Linked DNA regions of Struthio camelus. The protein of the gene in region 1 interacts with the protein of each later gene in a pairwise test. Links are inferred from orthologs where the notes say so. Each region holds a gene or a part of one and is shown on either strand. Other genes may lie near its edges.

The links.
Region 2: the proteins of NEIL2 (region 1) and MEOX1 interact in binary tests that used the Homo sapiens proteins (3 or more experiments, as listed by UniProt). The two-hybrid records come from large-scale screens. The link is inferred for Struthio camelus from reciprocal best matches to the Homo sapiens genes NEIL2 and MEOX1.

Annotation. Positions count from the first base shown.
Region 1 is NC_090944.1:11,160,083-11,167,279, forward strand, and holds the start of NEIL2 (endonuclease 8-like 2), read left to right. Parts: upstream 1-3,977; 5' UTR 3,978-3,979; coding exon 3,980-4,249; intron 4,250-7,197. UniProt on the Homo sapiens protein: Involved in base excision repair of DNA damaged by oxidation or by mutagenic agents. Has DNA glycosylase activity towards 5-hydroxyuracil and other oxidized derivatives of cytosine with a preference for mismatched double-stranded DNA (DNA bubbles).
Region 2 is NC_090966.1:8,141,170-8,148,776, forward strand, and holds the start of MEOX1 (homeobox protein MOX-1), read right to left. Parts: upstream 3,062-7,607; 5' UTR 2,682-3,061; coding exon 2,231-2,681; intron 1-2,230. UniProt on the Homo sapiens protein: Mesodermal transcription factor that plays a key role in somitogenesis and is specifically required for sclerotome development. Required for maintenance of the sclerotome polarity and formation of the cranio-cervical joints.

The DNA.
Region 1 (7,197 bases):
TTCTCTTTCCTCCTTGCACCCAGAACTTGAGTATGGAACCACGAAGTGAAAATCTAGAGGAGGGATTGTGCGTCCCCCTGAAATGTGTTGACGTATATAAGGTGCTCTGTCTCTTGCTATTGAACATTTCCAGAAAGCATGTTCCCAACCAAATACCAAGGTACATGGCTTGGGGAGGAGGAAAGCCACACACACGACTGAAGCAAGAGAATGACACTGTATTATCTTTGTTTGAGCTCTCCCTTTTTCCCCTGATGGTAGAGATGCTTCTTTAAGGAGAAGCATTCAACTGGTCTGGCAGAGGCTGGGTCTATAGGGAGTGGAGTCACAGTGGAGGCTTGGACCCCTCCACGTTCTCTCTGCTCTGAGTAGTAACTCAGACTCACAGGGTTTTGGAGGGGTGACAATGTCTCTGTGCTTCCCAGAGGAGAAGAGCATGGCAGTGCTGCCATGGGACTGCAGGACAGTGTTTACGCCTTGAGGGTGTTCTGGTGGGCTTCCCTGTAGGAAACCTTATCCCGACATTGACAAGGAGTGACCTTCACTGGCTCATAGGAGTGGAATCCAAGTTCTAGGAGGCTTTTCAATCCCTCACTGCTAAGATGTCCACAGAGTTTCTGCTCTGTCTTGCTGAGACTAAGGCAGGATCGAGCCTCATTAGTGTGCTTATTACAGATAAGGAAGAGGTAGCCTATAAAATATGAATAAAATGTTATACTGAAATCCTGTGATGCTACTGGCAGGCCACTGAGAAGAGGCCAGGATAGTCTGTTGACTTACGTGAGCCTTGTATCTGGCCCTTGGAGACTTAAGTATGAGTACGAATAAAGGGAAGATAATGAAAAGAGACTCAGTTCAGAAAAGTTACAAGTTCAAACACCTGGGGAGAAATAACACCGAAGAATATGAATTTGAGGTGAGGACATAAAGGCTTTTCTCTCCAGGTGCGCTGGTTTTTAGCCAGCCTCCTGCTTCAACTATAGTCCTTAGTATCTGGCAATTGAGCTCTCTAGGGATCTGGCTGTGAATTCCTATCTGTGACAGAGAAGCACACCTGCCCCTAGATGCCACTTGGCTAATGCCCACATTTTGGGATACCTGAAACCACTGTGGGCAATCTGAGAGGGAGGGAAGAAGATAGCCTCAAGGAGAGGAGCTAAGATCCAGACCAAACACATGTAGCGTCTGTGTTCTCTTTCCATGCTGATGATGCCAGCTGCTCTGTCTACCTTGCCCTATTACTGCGCTCCTCCTACTTTCCTCAAAGCCAAATGCCGTGGCAGAAATTCTCTCCTGCCCTTAACACACACTCTGAGGTGCCATAAAGGAATCTTCTTGAAATGCAAGAGGAGAAAACCCCCACAGGACATAAGCCTGGCAGTTGCCTGGCTCATGCCCCCTCAGGTTATCTAGACAGCCATGGCAGAGCTTTATTAACCGGTTCTCACCTTCCTCAAAGACTTAAAAATGGTTCTTGGAAAACAGTGAGGAGCATTTACAAGGACCCTGATAACAAGACAGATATCTGCTTTGAAAAGGTGGGCCTCCGGGGCTGTAAGGACAGTCGGGTTTTCCTGAGTGATAGAAACAAGCTCTTTTGTCCCTCCTTTTCCACTGCATACAGCAGAAGCTCAGATACTCCAGATTCTGCCATTCTTTTCATTCACTCAAAACTGTTGTAGAGCTACTGTTGATCCAGGACCTTCGGCCACGCTCTGGCTAATACCGATATTAAGACGGTGAGAGACAGAACTCAGATGGAGTACCATTGTGCTAGGTACTATACAAACACACTGTAGTAGATGGTCCTGTCCTAGAGAGCTCATAGTCACAGAATTAAAGAGTAATGTGATTTGGAAGGGACTAGATCAGGTTGTTCAGAGCCTGATCAGTCAAGTTTTGAATATCTCCAAGGATGGAAATCCCACAGCCTCTGCAGGTTCCTATTCCAGTGTTTGACCACCCTCATGGCAGAAGTATTTTCCCAGATAAATGTTAGACACTGGCAAAAGGCAAAACTATTAAGAAATTAATTGCCTCAGACTGGGGACTCCCAAGTAATGAGCCCTCATTGCAGGAGGCTGAATATCGACTGCAAACCCAGGAGTCACATGGAGCCCCTTCTGCAGGTAGGAGCTGGAATGACCAACACGGGATGAGAAATACTAGAAGTGACAGATCTGGGGATACTCAGAGGACATATTATAAAGTGAGGGGATTAGAGTGCTACCATTTTCAGTGGATTCAGTTCATTCTAGCAAGAGGGTTCCCTTACAAAATTTAGGGTTACATTTGAGCACTTCTTTCCTTCAAATGATGGGGGAGCTGTTCAGAACCTGAGGCTTTGCTCATGCAATTAGATGCAATTATTAAAGACTCTTTGGGGCAAGATTATTACTGCTGTTGCTACTACTGTTACTGTAATAATTTATTTCCTTGCATTGTGGCTGGAGGTCCTAGTGAGGACCATACCGAGCCAGGTCCTATACAAATACAGAACTGAAAATCATCCCTGCCCTGAGGACTAAGAGGGAAGGGCCCAGTCCTACACAACACTTAAGCTCATATATAAATGTCCTTGAGAGAGTTTTTCCCTTAGAGGTCACCATTAATCACACATGTAAATGTTGATGCCTAAGGATTTTCAGCACAAGGCTTGACTGCGCAAATAGTCGAATGAGACCTTTGCTACAGACCAGTGGTCACCAGTGTGAGATAGGTAGATGAGAATCAGGATGGGGAGCCAGAGAGGTAGAAAGGTCATTTACCATTTCTAAATGTCTTTCCTCTTTGCAAAAGTGCAATATCTTGAATCGCTTCAGTTCTTTTTTTATATAAATTGATCAGAAGAGTTCCGTATTTCACTTGCAATCTTATGGGCTGATTGGACCCTCTCCAATCAGGAGGAGCTCAGGAATATTGTAAGGGAGCTTTAATACCGATCAACATTTCTTACTATAACTCTGAAGCTGTGACTATGTCAGGAGTAGTGTTTTGTTTTGTTTTGTTTTATTTTCATGTATAAAATTTGAAGCTTCCCAGATCAGCTGGGAAGGTCCCACAGAAACACTTATTTGTAAGGGGGAAGGGGGAAAACAACCAACCAACTGAACAAGCTGTAATTATTTAAAGATGTAAAAAAATATATATTACAAAGTAGTATGGCTACCAATCCACATAACTTCTACACCTTTAGAACTAATGGAAATAAAATAATAATAAAACTAGATGGCTTCTGCCTGACTCTGACTGAGCTGGTGGGCTTCTTGGGGTAGGTTAATGGTAAATGAACACATATTCAGTGCACAGAGTTGAAAGGAGGAGCCGGTGTGTTTTCATGCAGCAGGTAATTCCACTAATACAGCAGCAAGAGGAAAAGCTCCTCGCAGTGCCTTAATACCATTGTGTCTTATCTTTTTGCAATTCTCACTAACATAGTTTTGCTTGATGCACTGTTGATGTAGCCTAATTGCTTCCAGCTGAACTCCAAGACGCCACCCCCGAGCCAAAACCGCATTGCCAGCAAGGGCTGCCTTGAGCCACTTCTGCTTTCTGCAGGAGCGCAACGCTCGTACAAGCACCCAAGCTCCCCCCTAAGGTGCTCGGCCTCTTTCCCAGTTCGACCACTCCTTGAGCCCTTGGTGCAACTGGGCTCGAAACCCTGCCCGTTGCTCCCCTGCTATGGGTGGGGGGATGTCTCCTTCCCCTGTAAGAGCAGGTGGGGCGGCTGAGGGTTTTGGGTGCAGAACACGGCATGGCAGAGTTGGGTGTAGGAGGGGGGCTGGAGGATGAGGAGCCGGTGATGCGAGGCAGTTGGGGGTGCTGGAAGAGGGGTTAGGTACAAAGATGGGAAGGGCTCCGAAGCATGCAGGAGAAGCTGGGGCAATAAATTGCAGGGGAGGAGCAGGGCTGCCCCCTCCTCTATGTGCGTGCATATAGGAAGGGGGGTGGGCTGGGGCTGGCTGCAGGGGTTTGGGGGATGCCTGCTTTGGAAGCTCCGCAGCGGGCGTATAAGCCCCCCCCTGCTCCGTGCTCCCCGGTGCCAGCCCGCTGCCCTGCGGCCGGGGGCAGCGCGGGGCTCGATTGCTTTGGAGAGCTGCAACTCGGCGCTCGACTGAGGGGTCCTGGGAAGTGGATACAATTTGGGAGGGGGCGGGGGGGGGAAACTGGCAGGGTCCCACCGCCCCCTCCATTCCCCCCGCCCGGTGCGTGTCGGCAGCGGGTGCTGCAGGGGCTCGAGGACCCCTCGGTAGGTAACAGCAGGGACTCGGAGCAGACTGGGAAGAACATGCCTTTCGTAGGGTGTTTCTTCCCCTGAGGGGGTAGGGAGAGGAGCTGGGGTGGGTGGGGAGTAGAGCTGCCCAACTGCTAATTGCAATTAGCCCTTGCCTAATTGCACGTGGAGGGGGTCCGGGCTGCGTGTTTACATCGCCGCGGGAGCGTCGCGCCGGGTTGTGAAGCTCTCCTGGGGCGCAGGTGGTCCGGCTTTGCCCTCTCTCTGCTGATCCCCATCGCTCTGGGGTGTGGGACCGGCGCTGCTCCAAGCAGGTGAGCTGGCGGCTCAGGGCATGGGTTAAAGCTGGGCTGAGGTGGAGGAACCCAGCAGCCTGGTAGTTTATTATCCCCTGTAGAAGCTGGCTCGATGAGAGAGCGATACCGGTTTTGTGGGATGCTTGTGCGGAGGGTTTGTGCGGAGTGTGAGCATGTCCCAGTGGAGTGCAGATGCTTGGCTTTGACTGCAGGGACTGAAGGAGCCCAACCAAAATGAATGTATATGTGGGAAGGGTTTCTTCTGGAAGCCTGGTGGCTGTGGTGGTGCCAGCTTGGGGTTGGAGACCAACTGTAGTCTATGCCTTGGAATAGAAACAGGCAATAGTAATAGGAGATAACAGCTCTGAGGGTTTCCCCCATCTCCTGGTGGGGCCACCAGGGTTTTTTTTTTTTTTTTTAGTTTTTGTGGGTCTTTTGTTTGTTTTGATTCTCCCATCTAGAGGGCTTGATTGCTAAGAAGACTATAGAAATGCTGTGGGGCAGCCTCCTGTTGCTGCTGCACGTGGCTGGTCCCAGCGGGCTGGATTTGTAGCCCAAGAGGCTAGCAAAGACAGGCTTGAGGGTACAGTGGTGGTCCCTTTAGGGAGAAGGAGTGATTTGCCCTGCAGAGCGCTGGGAGCTGTGATCCTCCTTGGAGGAGGGAGACAGCTCTTTTAGAAGAGACTGAAGTGGCCGTGAGTGAAAAGATGAACTCGGGAGATACTTCCAGCTAGTCCATGGAGAGATGAGGGGGGACCAGGGAAAATAGATACTGTTCTTTCTGAAGCCATGGGGTAAAGGGTAGGGCCTCTCACTAGAGAGCTAAGAGCATTACGCTTCTGGCCAAACTGGCTGCAGTTGGGTGAACGTGTGCATGTGTGCATTAAGACCTTAGGAAGTGCTAAGCACTTGCATCCTCTGAGGACCAGCCCTCTGTGAACTGAATGAGAGGCAATCAGAGCTGTGCAGCTCTGCAGGTAATGTGGGAGTCTGAACTCTGAGCTGCATGAGCTGTCCTGGGGCTCACTTTGTGCCCCCTAATATTACGTGGGTGCCAGAATAGTCCAGGAGGAAGGCCCAGAAGGCCTGGGATGTAGGTAGACCTCTTGGTTGATCCCAGGGATCCAGGTTGCTGATGGCACTTTTGACAGCAGAAATACCTCTTTGGATGACTCTTGATCTGTTACTGGCTGAACTAAAGTCTGAACCCAACATGTCTCTAATCTGAAGCTCAGAATAGAGAAATGTGTCTCTGTGGTCTGGGAAGGCTTGAGACATCTTCCTAGAATAATGTATGGTAGCAAAACGAAGGCTTTGGAGCCTTTGAAAATGCAGCGTATGTGGGTGAAACTGGAATAGGCCTATATATAACTATCCCATGACCTGGGCAGTACAGGAATAAAGCTTGGTCTTTTACTTCCATTGAGCCTTTTCCAGCTTATATGAAACAAGTAATATTAGTTGCTCCTATCTTGGATCCTGGTAATGTTTGTTCCCTGGTGTGCTTTCCTGCTGGAGCTCTTGGCAGGTCTGTGACTGCTGTGTGTGGCAGCACAGGAAGGTTTTTACAGCTGTGCTGTCTTGTCTGCCCCTGTTGCAGGTATGTCCACACCTCACTGGTGTTCGTAGTGCTGTGTTCTAATTGGAATGGAGGTTGCTGGTTGCTTAAATGTCTCTGCTGAGAGCTTCAGTGAACAAAGATGTCCCTTTGTTGTGGCAAAGGGCGGCTTGGAGAGGTGAGGCAGCAGCAGGTAGTGCTGAAGGCTCAGGTTTTACGGTTACTCTGTGCTGATGGGCCGTTCCTGGCCTGCTGCCTCTTTTCCCTGTTCTTTCTTTGGCGTGAGTGTTTCTGTAGCAGTTCAGGGATCAGCGTCTGGGAGCTGCTGTATCTGAGTTAGCCCAGCCAGCAGAAAAGATGAGATGCTAGCATGAGGTAGGAATGTGTCTTCTGGTAGAAGCCTCTGCATAGGGTAGCTTGACATGAAGGTGAACAGCAGTCTCAGAGCCGTGCCAGGTAGCTTGGAGCCTTGTACTGAGCACTGTGGAGTCTGCAGCAGAGCTGGTGGTCAGTGCTGGGTTTCTGGGATCAATCTTCTTGTGGAATTGCCACTGCAGGGTGAAAGCCAAAGCATATTCTTCACACCCTGGAGCGTGCTGTCTTGTGTACCTGGTCCTGGCAGATCTCTTCAAAAGAACTGCAAGTAACATGTCTGGGATCTTGGGCCAGAAATAACACCTTTGTACTGGTATAACTCCTGTAAGTGAGCTACAGGGTGTTGTGGAATGGCACTACTTTGTCTGCCATTCTTGCCAGAGACTGCTGACCCTAGATGTCGCTGGCAGAGCGTACAAATGCTCTGTAATCTGCCTCATGCTGTTAGAGTCAGTGGCACTGTAGCAAGCAGCTGAAGAAGCAAGGAGGATGAGCTAACTCCAGGGCTAATCATGGAGCAGCGCTTTCCTTGGTGGTGCGGCTATATCAGGAAGATGATGGTTGACTGCGGCCTGAGTTGGTTCAGGTTTAGTAACATCTCTATAAGGTTGTGTTCCCACATTATTCTGGGACATTAAGGCTGTGAACGATGATTTGGAGTCATATGAGCTCTTGTTTCTGGTGAGGAGAGTTTCTGAACAGTCTAATTGAAGAGCCTTTCCAACTGGTGGAGA
Region 2 (7,607 bases), on another chromosome or scaffold:
CTGTAGAGGAAGGGAGGGTTGCCTGCACATCTGTACATCGATACTGCTAGGAAATGCTACTGTTACTACCAAAACAAAGAAGTTTTATGAATATTTTGAATAGATCAAAGCTTCAAAGAACATTTTTAAGATGGACAAACTTTTTAAATTATTTTTACATTGTTCTGTTTTATTTGTCTGAGAAATATACTTATTTTAGACTTTTCTCAGAATACTCTGCAAAGAGCCATATTCTAAGATCTTCTCTGCATATCTTGTAATAATTAGCTCTTGGTGAGAACTGAAGGGTTTCACACCAAAACAAATCATTGCAATGCTGTGGTTATACTAAAGTTCAATAAGATGGAAGCTGGTAAAGCACCAAGCAAGAAAAATGATTTTATTTTGTAGTGTTAGTCTTCAGGTGATTTCATTCTTTTATTAGCCTACTAATCTCTGAAGAGAGGGCTCTGGGCACCTAGATTTTTCTGAAGTCCAGGAAAATTCCCCAAAGGAGAGAGAGGACACGTGTCCCCCTTCTAACGCAATTGGAGTGTGCCCAGACACGCTGCCAGAACTGCAGCAAAAGCTCAGGAAGGAGCAGTAAAATGTTGATAGGCATTCCCCCACTCACTTTATTTTGTCTGGGGAGAGCAGGGAAGGTTGCAGGAGGGATTGCAAATAATTCTGCTATGTGAGGAGCAAAGAAGGGGGTGAAACGAGATGCAGCATAATCACCTTTGGGATGTTTTCGTCATTTCTGCCTTTTCCTAGAGTTGCAGGTTGTGTGGCCAGCAACCGCTGCTGGCAGGTAGGAAAGGCTACGTTGCGGTGATGTTGCTTATGGCTCCCCAGAAGGATAAGCATGTGGGACAGCAGTAAGTGTGAAGAGAAAATGTCAAAGCTGCTGGTAACAAAGAGCAGAAGGAGCATTTGTCTTCTACTTAAAAACAGGGGTGTGTGCAATCCCCTCAGTCCCTTTAAGAATAAGGATATTCCCTACCCTGAGTGCACTGAAATCTGCTGCTTAACCTTTGACTAATAGATGTTTTGATAAAAGCATTGTTCCCTAGAAAAAAGAAAAAGAAAAACTTGTTTGCGTTTGAGTTTTTTGAGAAATGGTTGCCCAAAAAATACTTTTTGAATAGAGAAGGCCTTAAATACTACAAAGCTGGGTTTCTAAAGAAAAACACAGCACCGAGGGTAGTAAACTAGCCTTTGGGGCACAAAGAGGCTCAGATACCAGCTATTTCACATGTGTCCCAAATGACCTGTGCCACATTAGAAGAGAGACGAGATAGGAAAGAAAAGTGCGGCAGAGAGCCTGTGAACCCAAGCATGTTCACACTGCAGGATGGAGAAGTGAGATTAGGATTAGTGCCTCTTCTGTAGCCAACCTGCAAAACTTCAGAAAAATTTTATCTCTTTGTCTTGGTTCTGCACCTGTAAAATGGGGATACTGGAAAATGTTCTCAGCCTCGTAATGGTGCTGTGGGGAAAAGCATGCTGTAGCTTGTAAATGAGCACAATAGCAAATCAATATGTATAGACATCTTAACTTTCAGCAGCTTCCTTCAGAGGAAACTAATGTGTTTCACGTATCTAGATAAGAGGTTGTTATATATCTGAACGCTGCAGAAAGAGCGAGTTTTGCCAGTTAGGATGACACAATGAAAATTTACATAGTTTTCCTTATTGTTGGGCATTGTGCTTATGGGCAGGCTTTCAGTCTCTCCTGTTTTGAAATAAAAGCATTTAACATCTAATGAGGCCAAGTAGAATTTATCTGGAAAGGGAGACTTTGCATCTTGGACTTCTGACCATAAACTGAGACATCAGAACCCTACTGTCACACTCCCAACAAGCACAGGCAGCTCAAGACGAGGGGTCTTTCCTCCTTGACTCCGTTCCCTTGCGCTTAGACGAAAGGCAGGTAAGCAATATCTGCCTGCATGCCCTAGCACCCTGAGCGCCGTGTGTACACGCCTTGCGATTTTGGTTGCAGCGAATTTGCGTTGTGCTGGCGAGGGAAATGACTGGTTCAGTTAGAGATTTGCAGAAGCGAAGTACAAACATGGGAGATCATCAAAGAAGAAACAATTTAGTTTTGGTATTGTATAAGTTTCCCTAGTCAAGAATTATAAAATGTTTTCTTCATAGGCTTTATTTCTTAATTCCTAACCTTATAGGTGCTCCCATTCTACAGCCTGGACTATCCCACATCCCTGATTTTTTTTTTTTTATTACCTACCTGAGTTTTCCTTTTTCCTTTTGGACGGCTTTTTCTCAGTCTCAGTTGAAGTGTTTCCTGGTAGCTCATAGTCCGCATTCATGCCCAGCGCAGCCCCCACCAGATTTGGGCTGCTGCCTTCTGGTTCCCCAGAACCTAAAGCTGGTCCCGGCTGCAGGCGTCCTCTGGCCTCGGTGGCTGCCAGGTGCCAGTCAGGGCGCTGGAAAGCGAGAGGCTGCTGCGCCAGCGCCTGCTCCTCCTGCGGGAAGCTGTGGGGAGCTGTCGCCAGGCAGGAGGCTGCAAAATCAGAGTAAGGAGCAAAGTCCGGCTTTTGGTGGAAGGGGAACGGTGCTGGTGGGTAGTGGCTCAGCCCTGCCACTGCGGTGCTGTCTGCCCGGGCGCTCCGGAGGGAGCCCCAGAGCAGGGCAGGAGGTCGCGGGCTTCGCATGCAGCTGCTGATGGTGGGATCCATTTGCTTGCGCTGCCGCTGCCTGTGCTTCGGTGGTTGTGGCTCAGGCTTCAAAACCAGAGTGGGAGCAGAGGGGGAAAATGTCTGACTTTTACAGGAATTAGAAATAGAATTTCTCTCTAAAAAGCAGTTTGCTTGTGAGTTTTATGCTGTTGCAAATTTGTTACTTTGGGAATTCCTCTAAACATCTTCATTGTCCTGACTGGAGAACAGTAACCAGATCTGTGCAGGGATTGCCCTGGAGCGTTTCCCAAGGCCTGAAGTTTTGTTCCTAGTGAGGTGCTGAACATGGGTGAAACTTTAAATACTGTGCTGAGGAGAGAGTAACAAGTTTGTGAAGTGAAATGTGAGCAAGGGGAGGGAGGAGTTAACCTACATGCACTGAGTCCCTCCAACCAAAGCAAAGCAGGCAACTATTAATCATCCGAAACCTTATATGCACATCTAATGGGATTTGCAGATGGAGACTTTTAAAGAAACATTGTCTGTGTTTTTTTGAAAAGGGAAAGGGCAGCACACACAAAAAAGGCTTTAATGTTTCCGTGTAACACTGTGAAGCTGTTTTTATTGCACTGTTAACAAAATTCCCCAAGTCTTGGATTTGGAAAAAGCCCTAAACCAGATATAGAATTCAGCAGATAACAAATTCCAAGGACTAAAGTGGGAAATAAAAGCAAGAGAGGAGTTAACAGATTATATTTGATTCTAAGGCCCAATTGTAAGTTTTTAAAAAAAAAAAATACGAGAACTGGTTGACACACATGCATGAGGTTTTGGGTGTCTGTTTTTGTTAGTTTTTGCAGTGAAGCTGAATTTGCTGATAGTTGGAGTTTGCTGCCAATGGCATCTATCCTTTCTGTATCCTACTTTCCGGGGAATTCTCAATATGCCACCACTCCTTCCTGTGAAGAGATTGCCTGCTTTCATGCCAGTAGGAGACATGGTTTTCATCTCTTGTTGAGAGTTGTATAGCTTTTCTTAACAGAAAGCGGGTTCTTAAACCTTGGAGCCATCACAGTTGGAAAGATACTGATATTAATAGGGAATCTGCCTGTGATTCCGTTTCTGCGGAGGGTGGCAGCTGGGGACGCCCGAATGCCCTGCTCAAGGGCTGTGCTAGCAGGACAACTGTTTCTTTCAAGGTGGTTGTCCCTGCTTTCATCGACAATTTATCGATGCACAAATGCACGTCTTCCCTGTTTCTATAGTCTGCTTGCAGCCCTTTTCAGTGCTTATTCCTCTACACCTTGCTATATTGTGAAGTCACTTAACTGAAACTGTGAAAAGAATGATGTTTTTAAATAACACTTGTGAGAGAATTAACAGAATTCTGCTGTTCTGATTGGGCTGCTTGTCAAAGATAGCCATAATCTTGTCTTGCTGTCCTGTTTGGGTGATTGCTTTTGTCCCACAGCTTTCAGGACTTGAGGATGTGGTGGGAGAACTAGCAGGGTCTGCAGCAGAGGGTTGGGAGACTCAGCTGGGGGCTGTTTCTGATGCCTCTAGGCAATCTGGAACAGACAACCAGGTGAATGCTGCAACTTGCCTGCCAGGTGTTTTTTCTTTCTGCAGAAGCATCATTTCCTAAGAGGTAATGTTTATTTCCTTCTGTCCAGGGAGCCCACACTGTATTTTGTTGAGAAAACAACATAGCAAGTGAAAGTTCAGTTTGGAAAACCAGCTTTTGCAGTGTGATTGCAGAGGAATGGCAGGGCTAATCAACTCTAGTACTGGAAAGCTGCTTCTTCCTTTTGAAAGTGTGTTAAAGTTTCTTTTCTTAGCTAGATGGTGCTTTCAGCACATGGAAGGCAGATTTCTTGCTCCCTCCTTCCCCCCCCCCCCCCGATGTGCAGAGCTGGAGGTTGTACCCCATAAAATATTTTCACAAAACAGAACGATATCAGCTCGATTCAGAAAATGTCTTTGGAACAAGGAAACAAGGCCGCTTCCTCTGTTGTCCTTGCTAGTAAGCATCAAAGTCTTGATGAAATGACTCTGGAATTTTTATGGGAATTCCATCATCTTCTACATGAGTTTAAAAAGCAATAAAGAGTTGGTGAGATACATATTTACAGTTTCTGGGGAAATAGCGAGGCTGCACCTTGGATTGTGGGTGATGTAGACTAGGAACGAACCAAGCCTGAGAGCAGAGCGGAGGGAGCTTCCTTCCCTTCCCTTCCTGCTGCTTGTGCAGGGTTTCATGTTTCCTCATAGACACAAAGAGGTTTCCTACACTGACTTGGAGCCTCATTTCTCCCCAGGGGCTTACGTGGTGCTTTGGGTCTTTTGCTTGGCTCTGTATACTTCTGAATTATATCCTCTCAAGTAATCCCGGCAGGGGGAAGTGTACTTACCTTGATATCTGTTGAGTCTTAGAGCTTGGTCTTCTCCAGGAAATCAAATGGATTTAGTGCTGACCTTTCTGAACGGGAACATCAAAATTCTGTCTTATTTTCATGTGATTCATAGCTCTCTTGCAAAATACTAAACATCTGATATCTGATGCATTCTCTAGGAAGAGGTTTCCATGCTAATGGAAGCTACTGCTGCGTTGTAGTGGAGAATAAAAATGACAACGTGTTTCCAACTCCCTGACAGTAGAGTTGCCCTTTCAGATTCGGTTTCAGATTGCCCTTTGTCTGAAAGGCTAGGTTATGATGAATTTGTGAAAGCTGGCAACAGTTCTGAGCGCTTGCAGAACCAAGTCAGAACCCAGAAGCTTTTTGCAGCTGCAGAGTGTTTCCCCTTCCTTCTCTGCGTGTGTCATCGCATGTATAATGCCCACTCAAGTCTCACAGGTTATGGGGGTTGTGTGGAGTCAAGCCTAGATCTGCTGGTTCTCAGCTCTACTTTCAGTCTATACAAGGATCTAGCTAATTATGCTGCCATTAATACCAGTTATACACATGCATGAATATTTGGGGGAGTAGAAGGGTATGGAGGACTACCTGTTGACCTAGTAGGGTTCAGTCCAGCCAGGAGCAGGTTTAGGTTTGCATTCAGGAACCCACAGGAGGCCTGAGCAAGGGGGTCTCTGCATAGGGCATGACGCAACTTCTGCACATCACTTGGCACTCCGAGTTGAACAACTTGGACCCCGTTTTCCCAATGGAGCTGTCACTGTTGTTCCGCTAACTTCAGACGTGGGAAAGGGAGCTGGCGTGTTACTTCCCAGATGTGAGAACTGTGGATTCTGCATTGCTCCAGCACCCTCTGCAGCTGGGGCTGTCATTCAGCTGCTCAGCAGGGGCCTGTTTGCCCTCTACATCTTCCTGACACTTCATTCCTGAAAGGAGAAAAAACAACAATCTTCCCCTCTTGCTAAAACCCATTTGTTAGATGAGGCAGCCACCTTTAACCTTCCTAAAGTCAACATCTCTTCAGTCGAGCATTGCGCTTGGGCAGAAAGGATGGAGACGGCTTTTTATAATAAATGCTGATTTTTGGAGCCTGGAAAGTGGGGATTTGTCTCCAAACTTTCTGTGAATTTGGACCATGACATCCCCAAGAAAGCATTCCTCTGCCATCCCACAGGCTGAGAAGCCTCTCCGATCCGGTGCGCCCTCAGAGCTTGCCCAGCTATTTGCACAGCTTTGTGAGGTAAAACGAGAAGGAAGCTGTGCCAGGTCTTCATCTCCTTTTTCTAGTGAAGCAATTTTCTGTTTCTTAATAAGACCCGAACCATCTCATGCCACACAAATGTAGCCCTCTTCCAAATTACCTCCACTCTTGTGTTGTATCTTGGCCTACGGGAGCTCTCTGGAGCAGGAAGCCTGGTCCCACAGTGCGTTTGCAGCACCTGACCTAGTGCAATGGGGTCTGGAGCTTTTGCACTTGAAATTCAAAGCGATTTCTTAAAGCGATTTCTAAAAAGCGGTTTTGATTGCAAGACAAAGTTTTAGCTTAGCAACAGAGAAAGGCAGACGAGAGATTTATCTCATCAGAAGTCTTAAGAACAATTTATAAGCTTAGCATGGAGAAAACTCTAGACAGGGAAGGTTATTCTGAAATTTTATTAGCGACTAAATTGTGAGTTAATAGCTCTCTTCATTTTAAAAAAAAACAAAAAAAACAAAAAAACCCACATCCAAACATTAAAAAATAACCCTAAACAACTCCCCTGCCATGTTTGCAGTTGAAGGAAGTGGGAAAGTTTTCCTCCATGTGGGTGCTGACTGAGCTTGGGGAATTCCATGTACATGGAAGAGTTCTTGTTGTTAATGTTGTTGCTCATTTTAGCACTCATGGAAGAAAGTTGGAGAGAAAAAAAACCCCAAAAAACAGCCAATTGTTTTCTTACTAACTTCAGGAAGCTGCAGCTTGAGTTGCAGAAATTGAAGATGGAGGAAGTTTATTTGGTAACTTGGTCTCCCCATGCTCTCTGCTAGACGTTTTCTGGTATGTTGTGCAGACCTGAATAAGTGTCCCAGTTTCCTTTTGGGGAAGACAATTCTTCATTCTTCCCTAGCATCTAGACTCAGTTCTTACTACTTTTGACTCCATCTTGTTACTCTGAGTTACTGCCCACAGGCACTACACACACAGATGGAGAGCAATTATTCAAGCAGATCTTAAAATTTTGTCGCATTTATGATAAGTCGTCTTAGGCACAAGCCAGATGATGTACTTTAGGCTTTTAATCTTTCTTCAGAGTCAGCCACCATAGCCGCTCCATCATGACTGTGGTGCTCTGATCTCTCTCTGCGTTGCAGTGCTGGAAATGAAGATCCACTTGCGCCAAGCAGGGACTATTGCATGCTCCCCTGGGTGGAGAAGGGAGAATATTCTCTGAAGGAAACTGGAGCACAGCAGGGTCATGTAGCTCAGTTTCCAAAGGGTTATCTGCAAGGTGCTGTGCTTCCCCATGCCTAGAAACTCCCTTGCAAGTGCTCCCAAACGTCACATTTCTGCTGATGAGCAGCATTTCCC